Linked DNA regions of Tamandua tetradactyla. The protein of the gene in region 1 interacts with the protein of each later gene in a biochemical or structural test. Links are inferred from orthologs where the notes say so. Each region holds a gene or a part of one and is shown in the gene's direction. Other genes may lie near its edges. The genes, in order: XRCC1, APTX and PNKP.

The links.
Region 2: the proteins of XRCC1 (region 1) and APTX form a complex in vitro, tested with the Homo sapiens proteins (2 studies listed by BioGRID). The link is inferred for Tamandua tetradactyla from reciprocal best matches to the Homo sapiens genes XRCC1 and APTX.
Region 3: the proteins of XRCC1 (region 1) and PNKP form a complex in vitro, tested with the Homo sapiens proteins (3 studies listed by BioGRID and IntAct, with this or other methods). The link is inferred for Tamandua tetradactyla from reciprocal best matches to the Homo sapiens genes XRCC1 and PNKP.

Annotation. Positions count from the first base shown.
Region 1 is NC_135342.1:21,214,204-21,222,009, forward strand, and holds the start of XRCC1 (DNA repair protein XRCC1), read left to right. Parts: upstream 1-4,802; 5' UTR 4,803-4,941; coding exon 4,942-4,992; intron 4,993-5,370; coding exon 5,371-5,463; intron 5,464-7,806. Other genes in the region: PINLYP (phospholipase A2 inhibitor and Ly6/PLAUR domain-containing protein), read right to left, coding at 158-312, 471-614, 848-1,000, 2,610-2,726, 3,638-3,707. UniProt on the Homo sapiens protein: Scaffold protein involved in DNA single-strand break repair by mediating the assembly of DNA break repair protein complexes. Negatively regulates ADP-ribosyltransferase activity of PARP1 during base-excision repair in order to prevent excessive PARP1 activity.
Region 2 is NC_135328.1:62,891,055-62,898,766, forward strand, and holds the start of APTX (aprataxin), read left to right. Parts: upstream 1-4,695; 5' UTR 4,696-4,762; intron 4,763-7,712. UniProt on the Homo sapiens protein: DNA-binding protein involved in single-strand DNA break repair, double-strand DNA break repair and base excision repair.
Region 3 is NC_135342.1:11,291,746-11,299,079, forward strand, and holds the start of PNKP (bifunctional polynucleotide phosphatase/kinase), read left to right. Parts: upstream 1-4,274; 5' UTR 4,275-4,368; intron 4,369-4,709; 5' UTR 4,710-4,721; coding exon 4,722-4,872; intron 4,873-5,417; coding exon 5,418-5,464; intron 5,465-5,541; exon of another isoform or gene 5,542-5,821; coding exon 5,822-6,121; exon of another isoform or gene 6,122-6,380; intron 6,381-6,390; exon of another isoform or gene 6,391-6,653; intron 6,654-6,668; exon of another isoform or gene 6,669-6,739; coding exon 6,740-6,819; exon of another isoform or gene 6,820-6,903; coding exon 6,904-6,961; exon of another isoform or gene 6,962-7,077; coding exon 7,078-7,185; exon of another isoform or gene 7,186-7,191; intron 7,192-7,334. Other genes in the region: AKT1S1 (proline-rich AKT1 substrate 1), read left to right, coding at 1-242, 1,201-1,278, 1,359-1,528, 2,439-2,582. UniProt on the Homo sapiens protein: Plays a key role in the repair of DNA damage, functioning as part of both the non-homologous end-joining (NHEJ) and base excision repair (BER) pathways.

The DNA of each region.
Region 1 (7,806 bases):
AAGTGTTGAGACCCCTACTCTCTGCATCCCACCTCCTCAAGATGTGTCACATCACAAGATCTCAGGACTTGGTCTGTTAACCCATTTAATTGATAGACTTTTGGGGAGCTGCAGGTTGAGGACAAATGAGGGCCTCAAGCCACATATCTTCATTTCTTCACTCAGCCCTGCCGGGGGGCTGGGATGCAGGTACACAGTCTACTCTGCTGAGTAGGTAGAGATAGGAGGCGGAGGGCACCTCCGCCCCAACCTTGGTGTAGCAGGCACTCTCTGTAGCGCAGCCGCGAGTGGCAAATTTGGGGCTGATGATACCTAGGAAAGGGGACTGCAGATGAGTCAGAGCCTCCAGGCCCCAATTCCTCACCACCCAGGAGTCCTAGCCACCAGCCCCCTCCTCACCTTAAGGACCCCCCTCCTCCCCTGGTACCTGGAAGTCTGAGCCTCCAGCTCCCCTGCCCCTGTCCCCTCACCGGCCTGCACGTTGCCAGCAAAGTAGATGCAGTGGGTCTCCTGGCCAACACAGCGGGCTGCCTGGGTCCCGGGGCAGGTCTCCTGAAACGGCGCGATGCAGGCGGGGCAGTGGAGCCCGTTCTCAGTGCGATTGTTCTGGGGAGCTGGGGGCGTGAGAGTGGGGTGACCGTTTAAGCCCTTCTCCTGAACTCAGACAACCCCGGATGCTAAGGGACATTGTACAACCCATTGTACAGGTGTGGACACGGAAGCTCTGAGCCAGCCAAGTGCTTTCCCGACGCCGCGGAGCCGAACAGCAGCAGGTTGGGCCAGAAACCGCGGACTCTTGGGGCGGGGCTGGAAACTGCTCGCGGCGCCGCGCTGGGCGGGCACTTACGGGGCACGGTGTCGCGGTTGCAGCCGTCGCTCTGGCAGCAGCGGGCGTTGGACACCATGTAATCCTTGGGGCCCATGGTGGTGGACACGAACCCCGAATAGCAGTCCCTGGACTTCATGCAGGACTTGTAGGTGTTCACCGACTGCTGGCCCTCTGCGGGGTGGGGCCGGCTCAGCGACGCTAGCTGACCCCACCCTAGCCTCGAGTCTCCCGTAACCCAACATCTCCCTGCCCTGCGACTGCCTGGGATAGTCTCTTCCAGCTTCCTCAATCCATACCTCCCTCTCTGCCTGGAGTGGTCTCTTCTAGTCTCCCCAAATCATCTCCCCTTGTCTGCCTAGGGTTCAGTTTGGAGTGGTTTATTAGGTAGCTCTCTCTACTCATTACATTCCCTGCCCCAGTCTTCCTTTGGTGGTCTCTTGCAGTCCTCTACTGCAAACATCCCTGCTGCCTGCCTGACATGGTCCCTTCCCACCCACCCCAAGGCCATCCTCTCCTCCAGCACCTTGCTGTCTTTGCCAGGCCAGTATGGCCACTCCCCTGTCCCTGTGGTGTGGTCTCTTCCATCCTCCAAGACTTTCATCCTCCCCCCACACCCTGGGGTGGTTCTGCCCAACAAACCTTGGGCTGCTGCCCCACTCCCCCAACACCTATCCCCCTCTCTGTCTAGGGTGGTCTCTGCCAGTCTCCACAGCCTACCCCTTCTCCGACCCATGGTGGTCTTTTCCAACCCAATCCAAAGGTTTTCCCTCTAGGCGCCAGCCCATAGGGTTTTTTTCCTCCTAGCCTCCCAGAACCTCTTTTCCTATATCTGTCTGGGGTGGTCTCTTCAAGCCTTTCAGATCCGTCCCCCAGGCCCCAACACTTGCTGGGTGGATGGGATGGGCGCAGTCTTCAGTCCCACCTTTCTCCCTCTCTCCCTCCAGTGGGGCTGGTTTCTTCCTGCATTCAGTTACCCCTCACCTGCCATCACAGTCTTCCCTCCCACACTTTGCCCCATTATCACTCCTGTGAGGAAGGTCCCCAGTGGTCTCTTCCCCTGCAATCTCAACCACCCATGGCTTCTCAGGTCTAGGATGGTCTCCACTTGAGTCACACACCTCCTGTCCCTTACATTTTACTCACCAGCCTACGCACTTGCCCCATCTCTACTTCTCTCTATAATGATTTGTTCGATAATTCGTGGTTATCTTCCCCCTTCCGATCGTGGTGGTCCTTTTCACTTTCCCCTAATCCCAACACCGTCTCTCCTCCTCTTGCCGGGAATGTTCTCTTCCAGCCCATGCCACCCTCACCATCCCTGGGGTGATTCCAGGGGATTTGGGTTGATTCCTTCATCTCCTCTAGAATCGTCTCTTCTCTGACCCTTTGACTGCCCCTCACCCCCAGGGCTCTCCCCTCTTCTTTCGCTAGCTTATTAGATTCTTCCCTTCTCATCATTTCTCTGTCTCCCTATGTTCTTCCTTCACCTCCTCCCATCTACAATAGTCTCTTTATTTACCCTGCATTCTTTCCCCCATAGACTTCTTCCTCCCTTATTGGAGAGTCTCATTTTTAGAAATCCCTGACCACAATGGATTCTGATGCCCCACTGAATTCTTCTGCCTCCACCTCGAGATATTCTTGCCCTCTTCCTGCACATTTTCTTCCTGCGCCACTCATTCCACGACAGTGATGACCATCTCCCCCGCCCCCACCCCCCAGCACATGGTATCTTGTTTCTACCCTGATGGCACCTTTGGTCCAACGCCCACCCTCTTACTTGTGCTGGACTCCCCCACGATGACCACGCAGGCATCCTTGCCTGCCTCGCATGTCTTCAGTTTTCCACTGCACGTGGGCCCGGGGCCCTTACACACCTCACAGCTTAGTGGGCACCCTGCAGGGGAGAGGGCGGGACTGTAGCCGAGGTCTGAGAACCACGACTTCCACTTCGGGGCCCTGAGGGAGACGAGGGCAGAGGGCACAATTTGTTGGTCCTTACGAAGGAGGGTCCTGCCATCTCCCAGGTTTTTCATGGGCGGAGCATTGGTCCAAGGAACTGTCCAGAGAACTATGCAGAGCCCTGACAGGGACGCAGTGGTGATGCCTGCAAGCTGCTTCCAGGGGCAGGAAACGACTCCACCACAGAACCTAGATACCTAATTACAAGGCTGGGGGCTTTGGATGCTAGGGTCCTCTGAGAACGCTTGGGGGCTGGAGGGGCGTGGCGAAGGCTTCCAGGGACTTTTGTGAAGCTTCAGGAACAGGTGATTCTGCAGTTTGAGACCCTCCCCCTTGCAGGTACAACTGGAGGTCTTGTAGTCAACAGGAACTCAGGTAGCAGTACCTGAGGCTGGGGTCTACATCCTAGGCTAAGGAGGGAGAATGACCTCTGGAAGGGTGGGCACATGGACCCCTTAGCCTGAGAGAGGGAAGCCCAGGTGTCTCCTGGAGAAAGTGGAGCTGGTGGCCTGGGAGAAAGGGAGTCTCTTGGTCTTTTCTGTTTTTAAAATTAGATTCCTCTTTCTAGTCCTGCTCTTATCTAACTTCCTAGAATTCTCATGTCTTATTTTGGGATCTGCCTGGGGTACAGGAGAATCAGGGCCCACCAAGCCCCTTCCTCTCAGGGATTCAATCATGTGAGCTTTTCTTCCCTTGGGGTTTCCAGGCTTTCTCTTCCTTTAGCCTCCTCCATTAATCCGAGCTCTCAAGATACTTCCCCTTTCCTCCTTAAAGACCCTGTTGAATGCTCTTCCACAGTCCCCTCTTTCCTGGGGGTGTCCTGAATCCAGGCCCCCAGCAACTCACCAAGGCCCAGAAGAGTGCAGAGCAGCGCCAAGGCCAGCAGGAAGGTCCTGGGACTCTCCGATGGCCTCATGGTGTGTCACCAGGCAGTCCTGGGTCCCCAGCCCTTATAAGACGCTAAGGAAGGGCGGCCCGGCCAACCTTCACCCTGAGGCAAGAAGGAGCTGAGGTCAGAGCGCAGGGCAGGCCTCACCAGCCCTGGGGTGCGGGAGGCGGAACCAAGTCCAAAAGGGACCTGGGCATCTGGTGTCCAGCCCCTTCTCCACAGGTCCCTAGTGGCCTAGACTTCCAGCTCTTTCTTCCATCAGGACCCAGAAGGTCACTGCCCTGTTTCCTCTCACATTCCCACAGTCCATTTTCTTTGCTGGACGCCCAAGGTCGGAATGGAGTATTTGATTCCCCGGGGTGGGGGTTGGGGGGGGGGTTGCACCGGTTTCAAGGTCTGGGATTCCCTCTTCCTTTGTTCTCTTTCCAAGGAGGCACCCAGCATGGGTGGGGCCCCACCTGGGAGCGCCAGCGGGAGCATCAGCGTGTCCAGGCTCGTTCTGCGGGGGCCCGGGAGCCTTGTCTCCCTTCCCTTCTCCTTCACCTGCTTCTGTATTTGGACTATCGCCGGCTCCGACTCAGCCCACGGCTGCATGCTTGCACACGGGAACTGAACAGAGGGATGCTTGTCAGCGGCCAGGGCCAGGCGCGGTAGGAGACTGATGCCCACAGGCCACATATTGGGAAACTGAGGCAAGGGTGGAAACACTGTAGGCTGGGTGAGTGCATGCTTTGTGTTTTAGATCTGTGACCTACTCTCTTGTGGTCTCAGGCATAACCTGAAAGAGCTCTTAGGCTTTTATAGGGGCGGGGAGACGGTGGGATGCAGCCGCGGAAGCCAAGACTCCAGATGACACTCTAAGTCGGGTTTTGCTGTCTGGCTTTCTAGGCTTCAGTATGCGTGGTGACTGCATCGCCCAATGAGAATGGCGAATTTCTACTAGGGACCAATCTTGGAGGCTGCTCCTGTTGCTGGGCGCCCAGAAAGTGCATACGTCACCAAGAGGCGGGACTAGAGGGTGGAGTGGCCGGAGAGAGGCGGGACTAGAGAAAAGTTCGTTGCTAGGAAACTCAGCACCGCCTACTGGAGTGGCGCGACTGGGCAAGCGCGCTGTTGACGCGCGTGCCGGCGCGCCGCAGTTTGAAAGGCCCGAGCCCGGCGCGCGTGCGCATTGAAGTCAGCGCGGAGGAGCAACCCCTCCCCGCACCCAAACCCCGACCCTCCTTCAGCCTTCAGGCCCCGCGAAGTCCAAGACGTTGGCATGCCGGAGATCCGCCTCCGCCATGTGGTGTCCTGCAGCAGCCAGGACTCGGTGAGGGCCAGCGTGGGGGAGGTGGGAATTGCTAGGGGGAGGGGGGCTCCACAAGAACTTTCTGGGTTTAAAAGGGAACTTGAGGGAAATCTAAGAAGGGCCAAGTGGAAATTTCCAGGATGCTGTAAGTGAATCCTCGGAGACTTGAGGAATAGGGGAATTTCCGGACATCTCTGGAACTTCCGGAGAGAAAAAATGGAATAGGGGCGTTCCTTGGAGAGCAATTAGGTGAACTTCCAGGGCAAAAGGTTGCAGGGGGAATTCAAGGCAGGAGTGGGGGATTAATGGGGAGCTTATCTGACAACTAGCAAAGGTCTTGAGAGGGTCTGGCCCTCGGTTCCGTGTCCTAACTCTTCCATTTTCCACTCTTGCCCCCAGACTCACTGTGCAGAAAACCTCCTCAAGGCGGACACTTACCGAAAATGGCGGGCTGCCAAGGCAGGCGAGAAGACCATCTCTGTGGTCCTCCAGGTGACCCTGCCCTTCCCCCCCCACTAGGAGTCTGGAGACCCAGGGTCCAGGCCCAGAAGAGAAAGTGACTCAGCCCACTGCCAGTTGGCTCAAGGGCTGAGTCACTTTCTCTTCTGGGCCTCAGCTTTCTTACCAGGAAAATGGGCAGCATGGTACTGGTACCCCTCAGGAGGGGAGAGAAGGATCCCCAGGACTAGGCCAGGGACAACCATAGGAATCAGTGTGTAGCCCCAATAGATTGCTCCTGCTTTCTGGGTCTCGGTTTCCTCAACCCGAACAAAGTGAATCAGTGGGCTCAGGGATGGAAGATGTCCCTGAGCGCATCTAAGCCAATCAACGACCATTTTCAAGATAGGAAAACTGAAATATGGGGGTGGGGGGAAGTGAACTGAAATGCTGGCCAGGTTTTTTCTGAGTACTTTTTGCTCATACTCTCAATCCAGGCCACAATCCTGTGAGGTTAGAGGGAGGCAAACCTGAGGGAGGAAAGGGTGGCCTGACTTGAAATGGTTACACAATTCCAAACAGGCTGTTCCTGTCAGGGATAAGAAAATTATGGGAGAAGAGAGCTAAATACATATTAAGCATTTACTGCTGGCTAGGTGTTTTATATGGATTCAGTCATCACAAAAGTTGTCACTAGCAATAAATGACAGAGGCAGGACTTGAACTCACACCTGAGTACTGGTGTTATTTACCACTTTGCCAACTGCCTTGTATTCTCTAGCTTTCTTGATTTGGGCCACATTCCTTAGTTCTGAATGTTGGGGTATTTGGGGGAGCGATGGGGGAGGTCAGGCAGGACTTGCATGATTGCATTTGATTCTGATCGTATTCTCTTTCTCTGTCTTGCTTGCTGATTCTAAAAAATTTTGGGGTCACAGAGGTTTTTTTGAGAATTTGATAGAAGCTGAGGATTCTCTTCCCAGAAAATAACACAGACTTACAAAATATTCGAAATGAGTTGGGGAATTTAAATATCTCCTGAATCCTTTGCATAGTAAAAATGAGAGCTAACGTTTATTGAGTGTTACAACCTGGCAGTCACTGTTCTAAGCACCTCACAGGAATTAACTCATTGACTCCTCATAAAAACCTCATGACCTAGGATCTATTGTTCACATTTTACAGATGAGGAAACTCAAGCTGAGTGAAGTTATGCAACTTGCCCAAGAGTCAAATGTTTTAAACTGAAAGAGGTACAGGTTGCTTACAGTTTAGTCTTGGGACCTGAATTCAAGTTTCTCTCTTGCTCACTCTGTGACCTTAGGCAAATTGTTTTATTTCTCTGAACCTGTTTTATCATCTGTCCATTAGGAATAATAAGATCTAAGCCTAGGGTTGTTGTGACAGTTCGGTGACATAATGTCTGCAGAAGTGCTCTGTCAACATGCAGGTGTTTACGTAAAGCTGCTGGGCTCTCTTCTGATCGGGTGATACCAGGGAAGTCACGTGCAGTCCTTTGTGCCTGTTGTAGTGAGAGCAGATAGACAGGCAGGAAAGAGTACGTGGAAGGTGAGGGAGCAGGAGGAGCTAGGATGAGGCATAGGATTCTGTGACCTGAAAGACTGAGGGGAAAGGTGCAGCTGTCACTGAAATGGGAAACCCAGAGAGGGGGCAGTTTGGGAAGGTGATATGTTTAGATGGGACATCCAGGTTTGATGTGACTTTGGGATATCCATGGAGCGGCATCCAGGAGACAAGGAGGGATTAGATGTGGAGCCAGAGACGGAAGGGGCTTGTTGGTACAGGGGCAGACTTAGGAATGAATGGATTCATTTGTTTGTTTGTTCATTCATCTATGCAACAGATATTTATTCAGCACTGTCTAGGCCAAGCACTGCTTTAGGTGCTGGGTTTATATAGCAGTGAACAGCACAGGACAAAAACCATCTCAGTTCTTGTGGGACTTCCATGTTTGTAGGGAAAGATTGATGAACAAACCAGTAATTAAACTTAAGTCAGATGATGAATGCAGTGGAGGGAAATTAAGTAGTTTGAGAGGAATAGGGAGTCCCTCAGCAGGGGACGGGACCATGGTGAGTGCTGAGAGTTTTCATTTAAATAGAGGGTCAGAGAAGGCCTCCCCGGGAAGAGACACTTGTGGGCTGCCTGGAAAACCACTGCAAGGACTTTGGCTTTTATGCTAAGATGGGAGCCACTGGAGGGTTCTCAGCAGAGGAGGGACAGAATCTGACTTAAATTTACCCAAGCTCCGTCTGGTTCCCATGTTGAGAACACACTGTTGCAGGCAGTGGCAGAAGCAGGGCCTCCAGCATTTCAGCGCTTGTTAACTTGGTCCACATCCGAGACCCTCCGGAAAATCTGATGGCCTCTGGTGGT
Region 2 (7,712 bases), on another chromosome or scaffold:
AAAAAAAGCAAAGAAAAAAACAATAATAAAAAACACCCAAACAAACAAAAGAAATGACCTTCATATATGGGCAACTGGGCCATGAATTTGTCTCTAAGCTAAAGCCTCATTGTATTCACAATTCATGGTGTCTGTAAGAAAAAACAAACCTGTTACTCTGGAGAAGTGAAACTATTCCTGGAATTGGGATCTGATTGGAATGTCTCCCAGGGGTGTTAATAAAGAGAACATTGTGTGATATGAAGAGCAGTGTCCTTGACAGCATTCCTAATGGGGTGACCAGTTCACAGGGATGCCTCTTAACAGCCCGATGGCTGCACACCAAAAGGCAATCCAATGAGTTAAAGCCAAGCTTCAGAGGTGGAGGACTGTTTTGGTGATCATGACTTAATAGCATTTATTTTTTTATGTAATGAGGGTCACATTTCATTCTTTTTCCAGGTGAGTATCCCCTTATTGCAGTAACATTTATTCTTTTTTTTTTTTTGAAGGGGGAGTAGTGCATGGGCCAGGAATTGAACCTGGGTCTCTCACATGGCAGACAAGAATTCTACCACTGAACTATACTTGTACCACCTCCTTAATAACATTTTATATCCAGCCAGTACTTAGCACAGTAATTGTCGTATAGCAGGTGCTCAGAAGTGTTTGTTGAGTGAATGTCAAACCCTGATTACCAAGATCTGATATCCTGCACCCCAACTTTGCACTCCTTTTGTAGCTATCAGGCAATATGAAGGAATTAAAGTGTTGGGTTAAACTGCCATTTCAACATTTTTATGTTCAATTTATTATGTTTTATCCAAATATGGGTGGGAAGTCAGGAGGTGAGGGATATGTGTGTGTATGTGTTCACATTTTTCTGGGTGTGGTAGTGGTGGTGTTGGGTGTGGTAGTGGTGGTAGTTAGTCAAGAAAGTGTGGTAGGAGAGGTTGGTTGGCAAGTGATCTTGAGAGCACTGCTGGCTTAGATCTTAACTCTCACTTGCAAGCTGTTCCTCAGAGCAGAGGCAGAACTGGTAATGGTGTCAAGTTGGGTAATGGGGTCAACTTGGCCAAGTGATGATGCCCAGTTGTCCGGTCAGGCAAGCACTTCCCTGGCCTTTGCTGCAAGGATATTTCATGGCTGGTTGTTAAACTGGAAGGCTAGTGTATTAAATCATCAGTCAGTTGACTGCATCTGTGGCTGATTACATTTGTGATCAATTATGGCACAAGTAAGGATTGTCTCCCACAACATGACAATCCAATCAGTTGAAGGCTTTTAAGGAAGAAGAGAGACCCTTTCACTGCTTTTTCAGCCAGAGAGCCTCTCCTGTGGAGGTTGTCCAGACCCTTCATCAGAGCTGCCAGCTTCATAGCCTGTCCTACAGATTTTAGATTGCCATGGTTGCATGAGACACCTTTATAAATCTCATATTTACAGATATATCCTGCTGGTTCTGTTTCTCTAGAGAACCCTAATACAGTGGGCCTTTGTTATTGGTCTCTGAGCTAAGCATCAGCGAGGCCCAGACACAGGTCACAGTGGTACCAACAGTAAAAGGAATTCAGTGCTGCACTAGCAGCCCTTAGATGGGCCTTTCCTGACCCTGCTACCAACCTCTCCCCCCAAAACTTTTTTTTTCTCAAAAGAGGTGTTCCAGCTATTCTCTCCCCTACAACTGTGTACTTTTCCTTCTTAGGACTTATTACCAATTGTAAATCTGTGCATGTGAAAGTAATGACTGTCTTCCCCACTAGACTGTGCCACAAGGGCAGGGAGTGTGTCTGTTTTGCTTACCTGTGCATCCAGAACATAATAGAATCTCAATAAATATTTGTCAAATAGAGGAACATTGAAATACAGATTCTAGCATTTGTCTTGCCCATATCAGTAATTTACCTTGACATGTTAATAAATTATACTTTGATGTGTACCTGAGTCTCATGTGAGTTAGATAGGTAAATCAGTCTCAAAGGGCCTGACCACCCTAAGCCTAATATTAGGAAGTCTCCATGAGCAAGTCTTTGGACTAGACCACTGCAGCCTTCTCAGGCTCCAACTGCACTTCCTTTATACCAGGACTCTCAAAATCAAAGGCATTCAGGGAGTCAGATTATATAAATAAATGGATGGGAACAGTGGCAAGTTGAAGAGCACATGGTAGCCACTCTCAGTCCCAGCTGTTTGTTGCCAGAAGTTGCTAGATTTACTGATTTTTTTCAAGAGACCAGGAATCCTGATTTTCTTGTGAGATCTAATTTTTAATTGTTGGAATAAAAAATAAAACTCCCTGAGCAGGCCAACAGAACACATTTTGAAGGGCACAGTTTCAAGCCTTTTCCTTCCATCAGTGAACCTCAAATTTGAGGGGGCATCGGGATAATCTGGAAGGCTTTCAAAAAATATTTTTGACAAATCTTCACACACATACAATTCATACATGGTGTAAATCAGTGGCTCACAATATCATCGCATAGTTGTGTATTCATTACCATGATCATTTTAGAACATTTACATCACTCCATAAAAAGAAACAAAAAAGAAAAAACTCATACATCCCATACCCCTTACCCCTCCCTCTCACTGACCACTAGTATTTCTATCTACTCAATTTAGCTTACCCCTTATCCCCTCTATTATTTATTTCTTTATTTTATCCATGTTTACTCCTCTGTCCATACCCTGGATAAAAGAGCATCAGATACAAAGTTTCCACAATCACACAGTCTCACTGTAACAGTTATATCTTTATACAATCACCTTCAAGGATCAAAGCTACTGGAACACACTCAACAATTTCAGGTACTTCCCTCTAGCCACTCCAAATACACTGTAAACTAAAAAGGGATATCTATATAATGCATAAGAATAACCTCCAGGATAACCTCCAGACTCTGAAATCTTTCAGTCACTGAAACATTATTTTGTCTCATTTTTCTCTTCCCCTTTTTGATCAAGAAAGGTTTCTCAATCCCATGATGCTGGATCCCAGCTCATCCTGGGAGTCTTGTCTCACATTGCCAGGGAGATTGACACCCCTGGGAGTCATGTCCCATGTGGAGAGGAGGGCAATGAGTTCACCTGCCAAACTGGCTTTTAGAGATAGGCCACATCTGAACAACAGAAGAGGTTCTCTGGTGGTGATTTGTAGGCCTACCGTTAAGTAGGCTTAGTCTATCTTTATAGGAATGTTTCATGGGGTTGAACCCCAAGATTGAGGGCTCGACCTATTGGTTCTGGAGGCCTTTTTAGAAACAGATTGTTGGGCCTCACCCCGAGTTTCTCAATCAGTAGGCCTGGGGTAGAGCTCCCAAATTTGCATTTTTAACAAGTTTCCAGGTGATGCTGATGCTACTTGTCTTGGAACTACATTTTGAGGGCTACTGCCATAGATAATATCTCAGAATACTCTCTACTCATTTTTATATATGTTTGTGATAAATCATTTTGCTTCTGGAGTGGTATCTATGAATCTCTTAAGTGTCATCACCCATATATTGTACCATGACCCTCCTTTCTTGGCCACCACTGCACTTTAGACAGTGGGCTTGATCTAACTGAAGCCATCGGTCTGGGACCTGGGAGGTGACCCAGTGTGGGAACTCTGCCTGATTTTTCACATCTTATTGTGAATAATACAATTAGAACGATCCCATCCCGGTTTTGAATGTAAGATACACAAAAGGCAGGGCAGGTAGAAGCAGAGACAAAGAGAAGCTTAATTCTAAGGGAAAAACAAAACTGGCTAGGTCACCAGAGTTGTTGCTTTTTATCTCAAGCACTTGTGAACCCACCATTAGGCCTGACTCGGTAGCTGAGATGCATCCGTGCCTCCCCACTTCCTTAGGCGACCTTAGTTTAAGCTTGCATTTCCTCTAACAAGAGCAAGTTCCTCTTTTTGTTTCCTGTAAGATCCTCCCACCTTCTGTCTTGATGACTCAGTTGTTTTCGCTATACTGTTGAGTTTTTGCTTCTATATGGAAGGAAACAAATTCCATCTCGACAAAGAAGCCTCTTATGGCTCAGTTTTTATCTAAGATGTTTGAGAAAAAATTAAAACAGCATGCCTTCATCCCTGAAATAGGGATTTCTCTACCTGACAAAATGCCTTGGAACAATTGCAAAACCTGACTCTGAGGGAACGACCTGGAACTGCTGTAAAAATCTGTAAACATCTCATCCTAGTATTCTGTTTCTCTACTCCCTGATTGCTCTTCCGTCAGTTCATTACTGAAGATAGCACTAAACAAACGAACAAAAAAAAAACCTCTAGCAGGTTTCCCTGACTCTCTTTCTTCCTTTCCTTTATTCCCAACAAAGGGAGAAAGTATACTATGGCTAAGAAAGGGAGAGAAGCAATTTCACAGCAGGTACCAACAGCAGAAAAGAGAGCCTCAATGATAGCGTCACCTCACAGGAGTGCAAAGAAGCTGCACGGCCGCCTGGAAACGTGGAACCTGCACTGGCCGCCTGAGGTCTCTTCCAGTTTAGACTGAGGGTGGTGACAGGAGAGCGACCCCCGAGCACAGAGGTGCCGCGAGAACTCCGTCTTCTAGGGACAGTTGCCAGGTTACCCACGTGAACCCCGGTCGACTGCTGGACGGGTTGGGGAGGACATTTCCCAGCCCGGGCTTGGGCGAGACTTTCTCAGCCAATCCTCAAAAGGCTCTGGTGACGCCACAGGTTGCGATTGCAGTCTCGTGACGTCATCCTGCAGCGCCGGAAGCTGTGCGGCCAGATGGACTGCTGTGAACGTGTCCATCTCTGCCATCTCGAGGTAAGGCGGTGATCGGCCTACCTCTTCTGTTGAAACCTGCAGGATTGGGCCTCAGGCTGGGGCCGCTCTGCCCCCGAGTAATGTTCCTTGAATAACGCTCTCACGGCTTCTTTCTCGGCAAGCGTTGCCCCATCCTCTGGCTCTCCGGAGAGCTCTTGTGCTCCGTTTCAGCGGGGCGGTCACGTTGGTCTCCGCCCTTTGTTCATATGTGCTCCGGATACCTGCACATAGCTTAGTCGCAAAAAGGTTAGTTAGAGAGTGAGTCCTTTCCTACCTAAGGAGGTGGTTCAGCTTGTTAGGAAGTGTTGTCCGCCAGAAACTCCCTGAAAGGAACTTGTTTTGATACCTTGAGGGCCTTCAAAGGAGACAGTGCACATCGTAAATAAGTGTTCTCAACAGGCATTACAGGAAGCTCAGAAGAAGCAAGTCTTTCTCCAGTGATAGAGATTTCAAAAGAGCAGCGATATAGTTTCCATTTGGGATTAATGTGGTCTAGGTTTAGAACCTTCTTGAAGTTTGCCTTATATTTGGAGTCCTATAGAATACTTTGGGAATATATTTGAATTGTGATTGGTCATAAGGGCAGATCATTGGGGTTTGTGTCCTCCCACCTTAGTTTGCAACGTCTGTGCTGTCTGATGGTCTTTTTCACAGGACCTTAACTTCTGCTTTCATCCAACCTTAACTATTAATAAGAATTATAATGGTTTTAAATGCTTTTTGCCAGACACTAAGCTTTACATACTTTTTCATTTTAATTAGCCCTTGTGATAACCCTGTGGTTTAGAGCAGTTACTGTCCTTTTACAACTGAGGAAGTAAAGTCTTAAGAGCAGTTAAATAACTTGCCTCAATTCACACAGTGAGTGGGTGGTGGAGCTAAGATTTGAATCCAGGCAATCCGACTTCATAGGCCTTGATGTTAACCATTGGTGTATGTTGTTTTGTCTTCAGTTGTGCATTAAGCTCCAAGCATTTCACTCTGTTGTTACTTTAACTGGATTGGGGAGAAAATTGAGGTCATCATATTTTTCTTTTGTAACAGAAATTAAGAATTAACAAATGATTACTATTACCGAATCATTACGTGCATGTTTGTTTATCTGTATTGTGGAATAGGTAGCCATTAATACCTGAGATTACTGAAACTCAACTAGTCTCACCTTTATTTACAGTTACTATTATAATGGTTATTCTAGCCTAATATTGGCCCTGTGTGTACTTACTATTTTATAATATTAACAACTCCATCCCTCACTTGTTTGGATTCATAAAAACCCTGAACTCCTTAGACTCCAGGAAATAGATTTTTTGGGTGGATAGGTCATTTACTCTCCTGTGTCACACTTACCATTAAACTCTTTCTCTCTTTGAAACCCTAGTGTCATAAATTGGCTGTTGTGCACATTGGGTAGAGAATCCACTGCTTTTGATTGGTATCACTTTCAAATTCCCGCTTCTCCCTTCCCTTCTTACAAAGTCATCTGTTTTTGTAGCCATCGTTACATTACTGTTAGTCTTCAAGAATGAGTGAACTCTTTTTTATTATTTTTTATCATAACAATCATTTTTTTAATGAAAAATAACATACATACACAAAAGCAATAACTTTCAAAGTGTATCACAACAATTAATTGTAGAACGGATTTCAGATTTTGGTATGGGTTCCAATTCCACAATTTTAGGTTTTTACTTCTAGCTGCTCTAAGATACTGGAGACGAAAAGAAATATCAATATAACAATTCAGAAATCATACTCATTTCTTAAACTCTACCTTCTCTGTATAATTCCACCATCACCTTTGATCTTTCTCCCACTCTTTAGGAGTATTTTGGCTATGCCTATTCTAACTTTTTCATGTTGAAAGGGGCTGTTGATAATATGGGATAAAGAAATGGACCTGATTGGTGTCCTTGAGAGGCTGGACCCTCTGCATTTCAGGACTTACCTGGTCCAGGGACCCATCTGGAATTTGTGGTTTTCTGGAAAGTTACCCTCTTGGATGGAACCTTTGTAAAATCTTATATAATGCCTTAGGTATTCAGATTGGCAGGAGTGGTTGTGGTTGTGGTTTGTCAAGTTATAATAGGTAGCAATGTTTAACTAAAGTTTGCCTAAGAGTGACCTCCAAGAGTAGCCTCTCGATTCTATTTGAACTCTCTCAGCCACTGACACCTTATTTATTATGCTTCTTTTCAACCTTTTGGTCAGGATGGGATTGTTGATCCCATAGTGCCTGAGCCAGGCTTATCTCTGGGAGCCATATCCCATGCTGCTAAGGAGACTTTCACCCTGGATGTCATATCCCATGGAGGGGGAAGGACAATGATTTCACTTGCAGAGTTGGCCTTAGAGAGAGAGAGGCCTCATCTGAGCAACAAAAGAGGTCCTCTGTAAGTAACTCTGAAGTATACCTATAGGTAGGCTAGGCTTCTCTGCTATATACATAAGCTTCTCAAGAGTAAGCGTAAAGATCAAGGGCTTGGCCTTTTGATGTGGGTGTCCCTACTGTTTGATACAGTATCAGGCGTTTGAGTGGATTCTTTTGATAAAAGAAAATCCCTTTATCTTTGCTTCTGACTTTTCTTTTACCTTTACCTGTGAGATCTTGTTTTCATTTGTTTTTCTCTCCCTTACTGTCTTTACCCCAGTCAAACATAAACAAAGAAATCAGGCTTTTTTAGATCTCTTCCTATCCTCACCTCAAAGAGAGAGAAAAAAAAGAAAGAAAAAGTCTTTGGTCATTGTTTTGTTTGTTAAAGCTGCTAGAACACAATATACCAGAAATGGGTTGGCTTTCGTAATAAAGGGAATTTATTAAGTCACAATTTTCTAAGGCCATAAAAATGTCCAAACTAAGGCGTCCACATAAATACGCTTTGACTCAAGGAAGGGTTGATGATGTTCGGGTTTCTCTGTCAGTTGGAAAGGCTCATGGCCACATCTGCTA
Region 3 (7,334 bases), about 9.9 Mb from region 1:
TGCTTATGCCGCCCATGGCCGGGGGGCCCTGGCGGAGGCCGCACGCCACTGCCTCCACGACATTGCCCAGGCCCACAGGGCGGCTGCGGCTGCCCGGCCTCCCGCGCCCCCACCAGCACCTCAGCCACCCAGCCCCGATCGGAGCCCCCCCCAGCCTCCCTCGGCCCGGGAGGAAGAGGAGGAGAATGGGGAGGAGCTGACAGAGACATCAGGGGAGAGGCTGGACATCAGCGATAGCGGAGGTGAGAGGGGCACAGAGCTGGCGGTGTGATTGTCGGGAAGGTTTGGATTCCGTTGGGTTTGCCTGGAGGACTGCTTGTCTGTGAGCCCTGCTGGTCTATGGAAGAGACTGGCAGGATGGACAGGCCTGCCAGGGACTCCATTGGCTGTGGGGCCTTAAGCAAGTCATTTTCCCTCTTTGAGCTTCAGAGTCCTTATACTGGTATTCTGAGGCCAGCTCCTTATTGCCAAGTACTGGGCAGTGATTCCCGCATCTGGGGCTGTTAATGCCTAAATGGCCAAAGATAGGAGTTAAAGAGGAGTGAGGAGTACAGTCACAGCTGAGAAAGCCAGGAGAGAGGGCAAGACAGCTATTTTGGGGGAATTTTGAAATACAAGGCTTCCCAGAAACTGGGTTATAAGACTAGGGTTTTGAAGAGTGTGTAGGAGTTTGCAAATGTCTCACTATATAGGAGTTACTATTTTCTGTTACTGTTACTACCAATGGCTGGCCTCTTCATTGTTGCTGGAGAAGACTCCCATAGGGTTAAGGGTACAGACTCTGGAACCAGGTGGCCTGGGTTCAAATTCCAGTGATGCCACTGGGACCTCAGTGGCTGTGGGACCTCAGGTAAGTGAGTTGACCTCTATGTGCCTCTGGGTCTGCATTTGAGATCATAATTGACCCATATTTCTCTTAGTCAGTATTTTAAGTTAGATCTTCCCAAACATGTTTTGCAAATTTCACATTAATCCAACCAGTCACTTTGATCTGAAGGTAAAAGATAGATACTGTGTTTATTTTTCCAATGACCACCCAGATACCCCAAGGAAGGGCGTAGCGTTCCAGACAGAGGGAACTGCAATCATGGAAGCCCTGAGGCTTCAAAGGGTCTGGCAAACGCAGGAAGTAGGGAGGGGTCAAGGGCACATGGGGCATGATGGGAGCTGACTGGCCCTGGCCTCTGCCTCCATCTGCAGGGCTGTTTGTGATGGACGAGGATGCCACCCTCCAAGATCTGCCCCCTTTCTGCGAGTCGGACCCTGAGAGCACAGATGGTGAGTGTCCCAGGTTGTCTCCCCTGGTCGTGGGGCTGGGACAAAGCCAGGGCAGAGGCTGAGGACCCCCTGTCTCCCAGATGGCAGCCTGAGTGAGGAGACCCCGGCGGGCCCCCCATCCTACTCAGTGCCTCCGGCCTCAGCCCTGCCCACACAGCAGTACGCCAAGTCCTTGCCCGTATCCGTGCCCGTCTGGGCCTTCAAGGAGAAGAGGACAGAGGCACGGTCATCGGATGAAGAAAATGGGCAGGTGAGGGGCAAAGTAGCACAGGGCAGGGGGCTGCCTCCCCTAGGAAGCTCCTCAGGCTGATGGTCATGGGAATCCACTGAGCAGGGATACCATTTTCCACACAACCGCACCAGGCAAGTTCTTGGGCCAAATCCTGCAGTTTTAACTGTTAAAACTTTATGACGTATCTCAGTGCCCTGTAGGAATGGCCATTATGGAGCACCTGCATGGCCCCCACCACTCAGTATCTTGGCATCACCTCCAGATGGGGAAACAAAAGACTGGAGGGGTCATACCCTCCACCCCTGGTCCCTCCCAGGATCTCCCACCACTCCTTTTGTGCTGGGGGAAGGCCACATCCAGCAGGCCCAGCTCAGGGTGACAGGGGCTCTAACGGAGGTGAGGCAGCACTGGCACTTGGGCTAGCCAGCAGGGCCCTGAGGATGTCAGCGCTGGCAGGTGAGAGCTCCTTTTTCTTGAGCAGTCACTGCTAATTCTCTCCTTCAAGCCTCACAGGTCCTGGTGCCAGTCCCATTTTTGAGAGGGGGAGAATGAGGCTTAGGGAGGCGAAATCCCTTGTTAGCAACCAGTCGTAGGCTGAGCCCTGGTGGGAAATGAGCGAATTCCAAGCCTCAGGTCCTAGAGATGAGACCCTCTGGGTCCACGCTTCATCAGCGGTCGGCAGACAGGTGGCCCTTCCGCTGTGGTAGAAGCAGCCAGAACTGCGGACCGACAGGCAACCGCGGATCACAGAGGTCCAAGTTAGAAGGGGAAGAAGTCAGGGCAAGAAGGCTTCCTGGCGGAGGCGGTGCCTGAGCGGAGTGTCGGGCCTTCCTGGCGGTGGGCAGCACAGGGGCAGAGGTGGGAAGGCAGGAAAGGGCCCCGGGTGGCGGCAATGGATGCCGACTCCGGCTCCCTGCGGTCCCCGCAGCCCTCCTCGCCGGACCTGGACCGCATCGCGGCGAGCATGCGCGCGCTGGTTCTGCGGGAGGCCGAGGACACCCAGGTCTTCGGGGATCTGCCGCGCCCACGGCTCAACACCAGCGACTTCCAGAAGCTGACGCGGAAATACTGAGGCCCTGGACCGAGCTGCGGGGCTGGCGTCAGCCCCGCCCCACACTACACCCCCGCCCCGCCCCCGGGGCCCGCCAATCCCAGTCGGATCCGGACCGGCGCCCCACGTCTCCCTGCCAGTGACCCGGCCGCCCTTCCAGCCCTCGTCCCTTTGCGGGCGTAGGAGCGGGGCCTGTCCAGTCTCCTGATTGGGTGTGCCGCTCCTTTTTCCGCCCAGCGACAGACTATTAATGGATTGGTTCACTCCTCGGCTGGGGGCGTGGCCAGTTCTGAGCGCCTAGGTGGCCAACTCTGCCGTTTTCTGCCTAGCGACAAGGGCTTTGCTCACACGGCATTGGCTCGATCCGTGGAAGAGCGCGGTCGAGCCCCAGGATTGGGCAGTGGCGCTCCACTTCCGCCTAATGTCCGGGCAGCGCCTTTGTTTGACTGGCTCTCGCTTTTTAAATGACCCCATCGATCTCCCGTGAGTCCGTCCACACTCTCCCAGACTTCTCCCACTTAGTTAGCTCCGCTCTTTAAAGGGCATAGCCAAACCCTGCTCTCGTGCTCTGGAGTGGCTTGCGGCCTCCAATTTACAGTCTCTACACTACTGGGGCCGCGGTCGCCTTTGCTCATCCTGTCAATTGGTCCCGCTGGCCCCCTTCTCATTTGTTCCATCCTCAACAGCCTGCCAGTCGAAGCCCGTCCGTGCATCCAGGACGGTACCAGCTCCCGCCCCTCTCCCCTACCCCCACAGGTGCCTTAAAGGGCCCTCGTCCACCCCAGGTGGGGGACAGGGGGCCGCACTCTCCGGCCCTGGTATGGGGGAGAGAGTGGGGGGGTGGGTTAAGGAGTTTGGGATCGCTGCGATTAAAAGTTTTACCTCTGACGAGTATGATATGTGTTAACGGGTGTTCATTCAAACTTTTTTTGAAGCTGAAAGAGCAACATCTCATTGGTTCTCAGTACAAAGCTGGGAGTTGGGGTTATGCCCATTTTACAAGAAAACGGAGATTCGCGGGTTGGGGAAGAGGATTCCAGGTCTGTGTGACTGTGGAGCCCCCGTCTTTAGGGGTATTAGGGTTGGAATCCGAATGTCTTTTAGGAGTCAGTCTCCTGAACCCACATAATTCTCCGATTCTGGCAGGAACTGCCAGATGGGGCCGCAGGTTTCCTACCAAAAGAAGACTAGAAGTTAAGAGAGCCGGTGGTACCTGGCCCGAAGTTGGGACTCCGCAAAGTACTCATGACGCCTCCATGTCCCAACAGAGCACCATGGGAAGGGTGCGAGCAATAGACAACCTAATGTAGCCGGGTCTACTATGACCGCACGTTTTCTAAGCTCTCTACGGGTATTTACCCCTTGAATCTAGTAATTCACGAAGCGGAGATGATTATCTGCACTTTATGAATGAGAAAAGTGCAACATCGCGGTTAAATCAGAACGGTCTAGGATTAGTGCTGCTGTCAGTGACAGGGTATCTTCCACTTCAAATGCGAAAGAACCTACTTCCGCTGTAGCGGTCTCCAGCAAAGAGGATGTAAGTTAAGTGTTCAAGATGATGAGAGGAAAAACTATAAACGGACACATTCGCCCTACTGGCCTGAATCTCACATTGTAGTAGGAGGGACGAGGTCAGAGCTGAGAAGGGACCGCAGGCACAAGCGACAGGAGGAGGGGCGGGGCTGCTGTGATGGGAGGGGCCGGGCCCCGCCCCTTTCGGTGGCAGAGTCATTTCCGTCCGCCACCGACCAGCAAAAGCGGCCGGCTCGGCTGCCCGCAGAGCGCCTCCGGCGGGAGTTCCCAGGTGGGAGGTGGCGCGCGAGCCCGCGCAGCGCGCACGGGTGAGGCTGGGGGCGGGCCGGGAGCGCCACGCGAGGCTCGCGGCCTTGGTCCGGGCAACTCGGCGTCACGGCTCCCGGAGAGATGGAGCCGGGGGTCAGCGCCTGGGAAATGGCGCGGCAGGGTGGGATTTCCGGAGCTGGTAGCAGCTAAATGGAGGGGATTCCGAGTGGCGGGTCTGGGATGGGGAACTGTGGGTAGGTGAGACTTCCTGTGGGCCTTCGGGAGGAACCAAACCGAGGTGGAATTGGACGGAGGGCGGGACTCAAATCTGCCACTCAAACTCTTAAACCTACTTCCCGCTAGGCGCGGGCCGGGATGGCCAAGTTGGAGGCCCAGGGCCGCCTGTGGCTGGAGAGCCCACCTGGTGGGGCACCTCCCATCTTCCTGCCCTCGGACGGGCAAACCCTCGTCCTGGGCCGGGGGCCTCTGACCCAGGTCGCCGACCGGAAGTGCTCCAGAAACCAAGGTGGGCGGAGACGTGGCCTGCCTCGTAGAGCCGGAACGCCACCGGGTGGGGAAGAGGGGCCGTAGGCGCGGTTAGGGAGACGCTTGCCTGCCGCATGGGACTGCACGGCGCAGCCAACCCTGGAGCTGGCTTGTGCCTGACTTGGTGCTGGCCACACACTGTCTGCGGAGGGGGGGCTGGCGCCAGGGACAGGGTCACCAGTGGGCAGAGAAGGATGCTCACGAGCCACGGGCGTTGTTAGAGAGAGCCGCCCCTTCGGAGAAAAGTGGAGGTTGCTTGGTAGGGATGGCTGGTAACTGGCAATCCCAGAACCAGCAGGTAGCCACACCTTTTGTCAAGGAGGCAGCCAGTTCTCTCGAGAAAAGTACCCGCCCTTTTCCTGGGGGTTCAGTCTACCTACAATCACGTGTGTGAAAGCGTGAGCCAGTCCCTTCAGAAATCAGTAATTCCCCGGTAAGGGTGCTTACAGCCCAATCCTGGGGCCCAGGAACGAGGGATTCCACTACACAAAGATGACAATCCTGACTCCACCCCTCAACCCTCAGTGGAGCTGGTCGCAGACCCTGAGACGCGGACAGTGGCAGTGAAACAGGTACCAGAGCCTCAGCTTGCCCCCACCCCACCCCCGCCCCGGAAAGCCGGGGGGCGGGGTCTGGGGAGGAGCCTCAACCTCCTGGGAAAATCTGATGGGCTGGGGAGGGTGGGATGTGACCGGTAAAGAGACTCCAAGAGAGCTGCCTGTTTCCGTGGGGTATCTATCTATCTACCCTCATTCAAACTGAACCAAGCTACACCCTGCCTTTGAAATCTTTTCTAAAACCCGAATTGGTGGTACACAGTGAAGAGGTGGGTCTTAAGGGCCTGAATGGCAATGGACAAAGGCATTTGATGGGAGGACATTCCTAAGGTGGGGCAGAGCCAATGCTGGTTCCTCGCTCTTGTTTTGCAGCTGGGAGTTAACCCCTCAACTGCCGGGACCCAGGAGCTGAAGCCTGGGTTGGAGAGTACCCTGGGAGTAGGAGACAAGCTGTATTTGGTCAATGGCCTTTATCCCCTGACCCTGCGATGGGAAGAGGCCCACACACCAGGATCCCAGCCAGACACTCCACCGGGTACCCCTCCGGTGGCCCCAGCCATGGGGCAGGATTCTGGGCCGCAGAAAAAGAGGATGCGGAAGTCATCCCCGGGTTGGGAGGACTTGGAAAAGCTGCTAGTGTTCACAGCACCTGGGGTGAAGGCCTGTGGCAAGGTGAGGCCCAGCTGGGGCTGCAGGGACCCCCACTGGGGACCCAACCCCACACACACTTGCTCTCTGCCCCTGGGCAAGTCATTAGAGTTCTCACATGACAAATTCAGGGGAAATTATATTTTCAGCTCCAGCTTGACCTATGGTAGCCACCTGGGAACTGTGGCAGGAGCATTATGATGAATCATTTTTAGGTCCAGAGACTTGAGTTCAAAGGCACTTAGCATGCTGTTTTAGGGCTTGGACCCCCATTCCCTCGTTTCTGAAAAGATGAATCCATGAAAAACACATGGCTTACAGTTAGCACCCAAATAAAACTTGGCCTGTTTTTAATTCCTGTTGTTAGCCCTTGGAGGTGAAGAAGGTGGGGCAAGGAGAGTACGAAGCTAAGAATGCCCATTTTAAAGAGTGGAATACTGAGACATCCAGAAGCAATGAGAGACACATCAGGCCCTGCACTCAGAGGCAGTGAGGGTGGGTCCTGGAGGGACTGTGTCCTTGCATAAGATGTTCACCTGTGACTCGGTTTCCCCACCTGTAAAATGGACACATGTGAATCTGTCTGTGGGTGAGGATGAGAAGTGTAATCACATTGTGTTCCCTTCTTCCTGGTGTCACCAGGTGGCCGGCTTTGACCTGGATGGGACTCTCATCACCACACGCTCAGGGAAGGTCTTTCCCACTGGCCCCACTGACTGGAGGTGAGAAGAGGCAAGAGCAGGGAGGGAGTGGGACCCAAAGTCTCCCACCGAGCTCCTGGCTACCCTGCCGCTTCCCCACCCTAGGATGCTGTACCTCGAGATTCCACGCAAGCTCCGTGAGCTGGATGCCGAGGGCTACAAGGTGTGTGCGCACACACGTGTGTGTCTGTGAGCAAGCGGTGCATGTGCAGCGCCCGGGCCTCAGGACAGGCTGGGGACCCTGGGGAGGGGACACTGGTGACCCCACTTGTTCCCCAGCTGGTGATCTTCACCAACCAGATGGGCATTGGGCGTGGGAAACTGCCAGCCGACGAGTTCAAGGCCAAGGTGGAGGCTGTGGTGGAGAAGCTGGGGGTCCCCTTCCAGGTATGGCTGCAAGAGAGGGTGAGGGGCTGTATGGGGGTTCGAAGATGTAGAGGAAGGAACAGAGACCCAGAGGGGGGTGCAGAGACCCAGGGGAAAGGCTGAGGCCTGGGGTCAGGGGCAGAAACCCAGAGAGAATGTATCAGAGACCC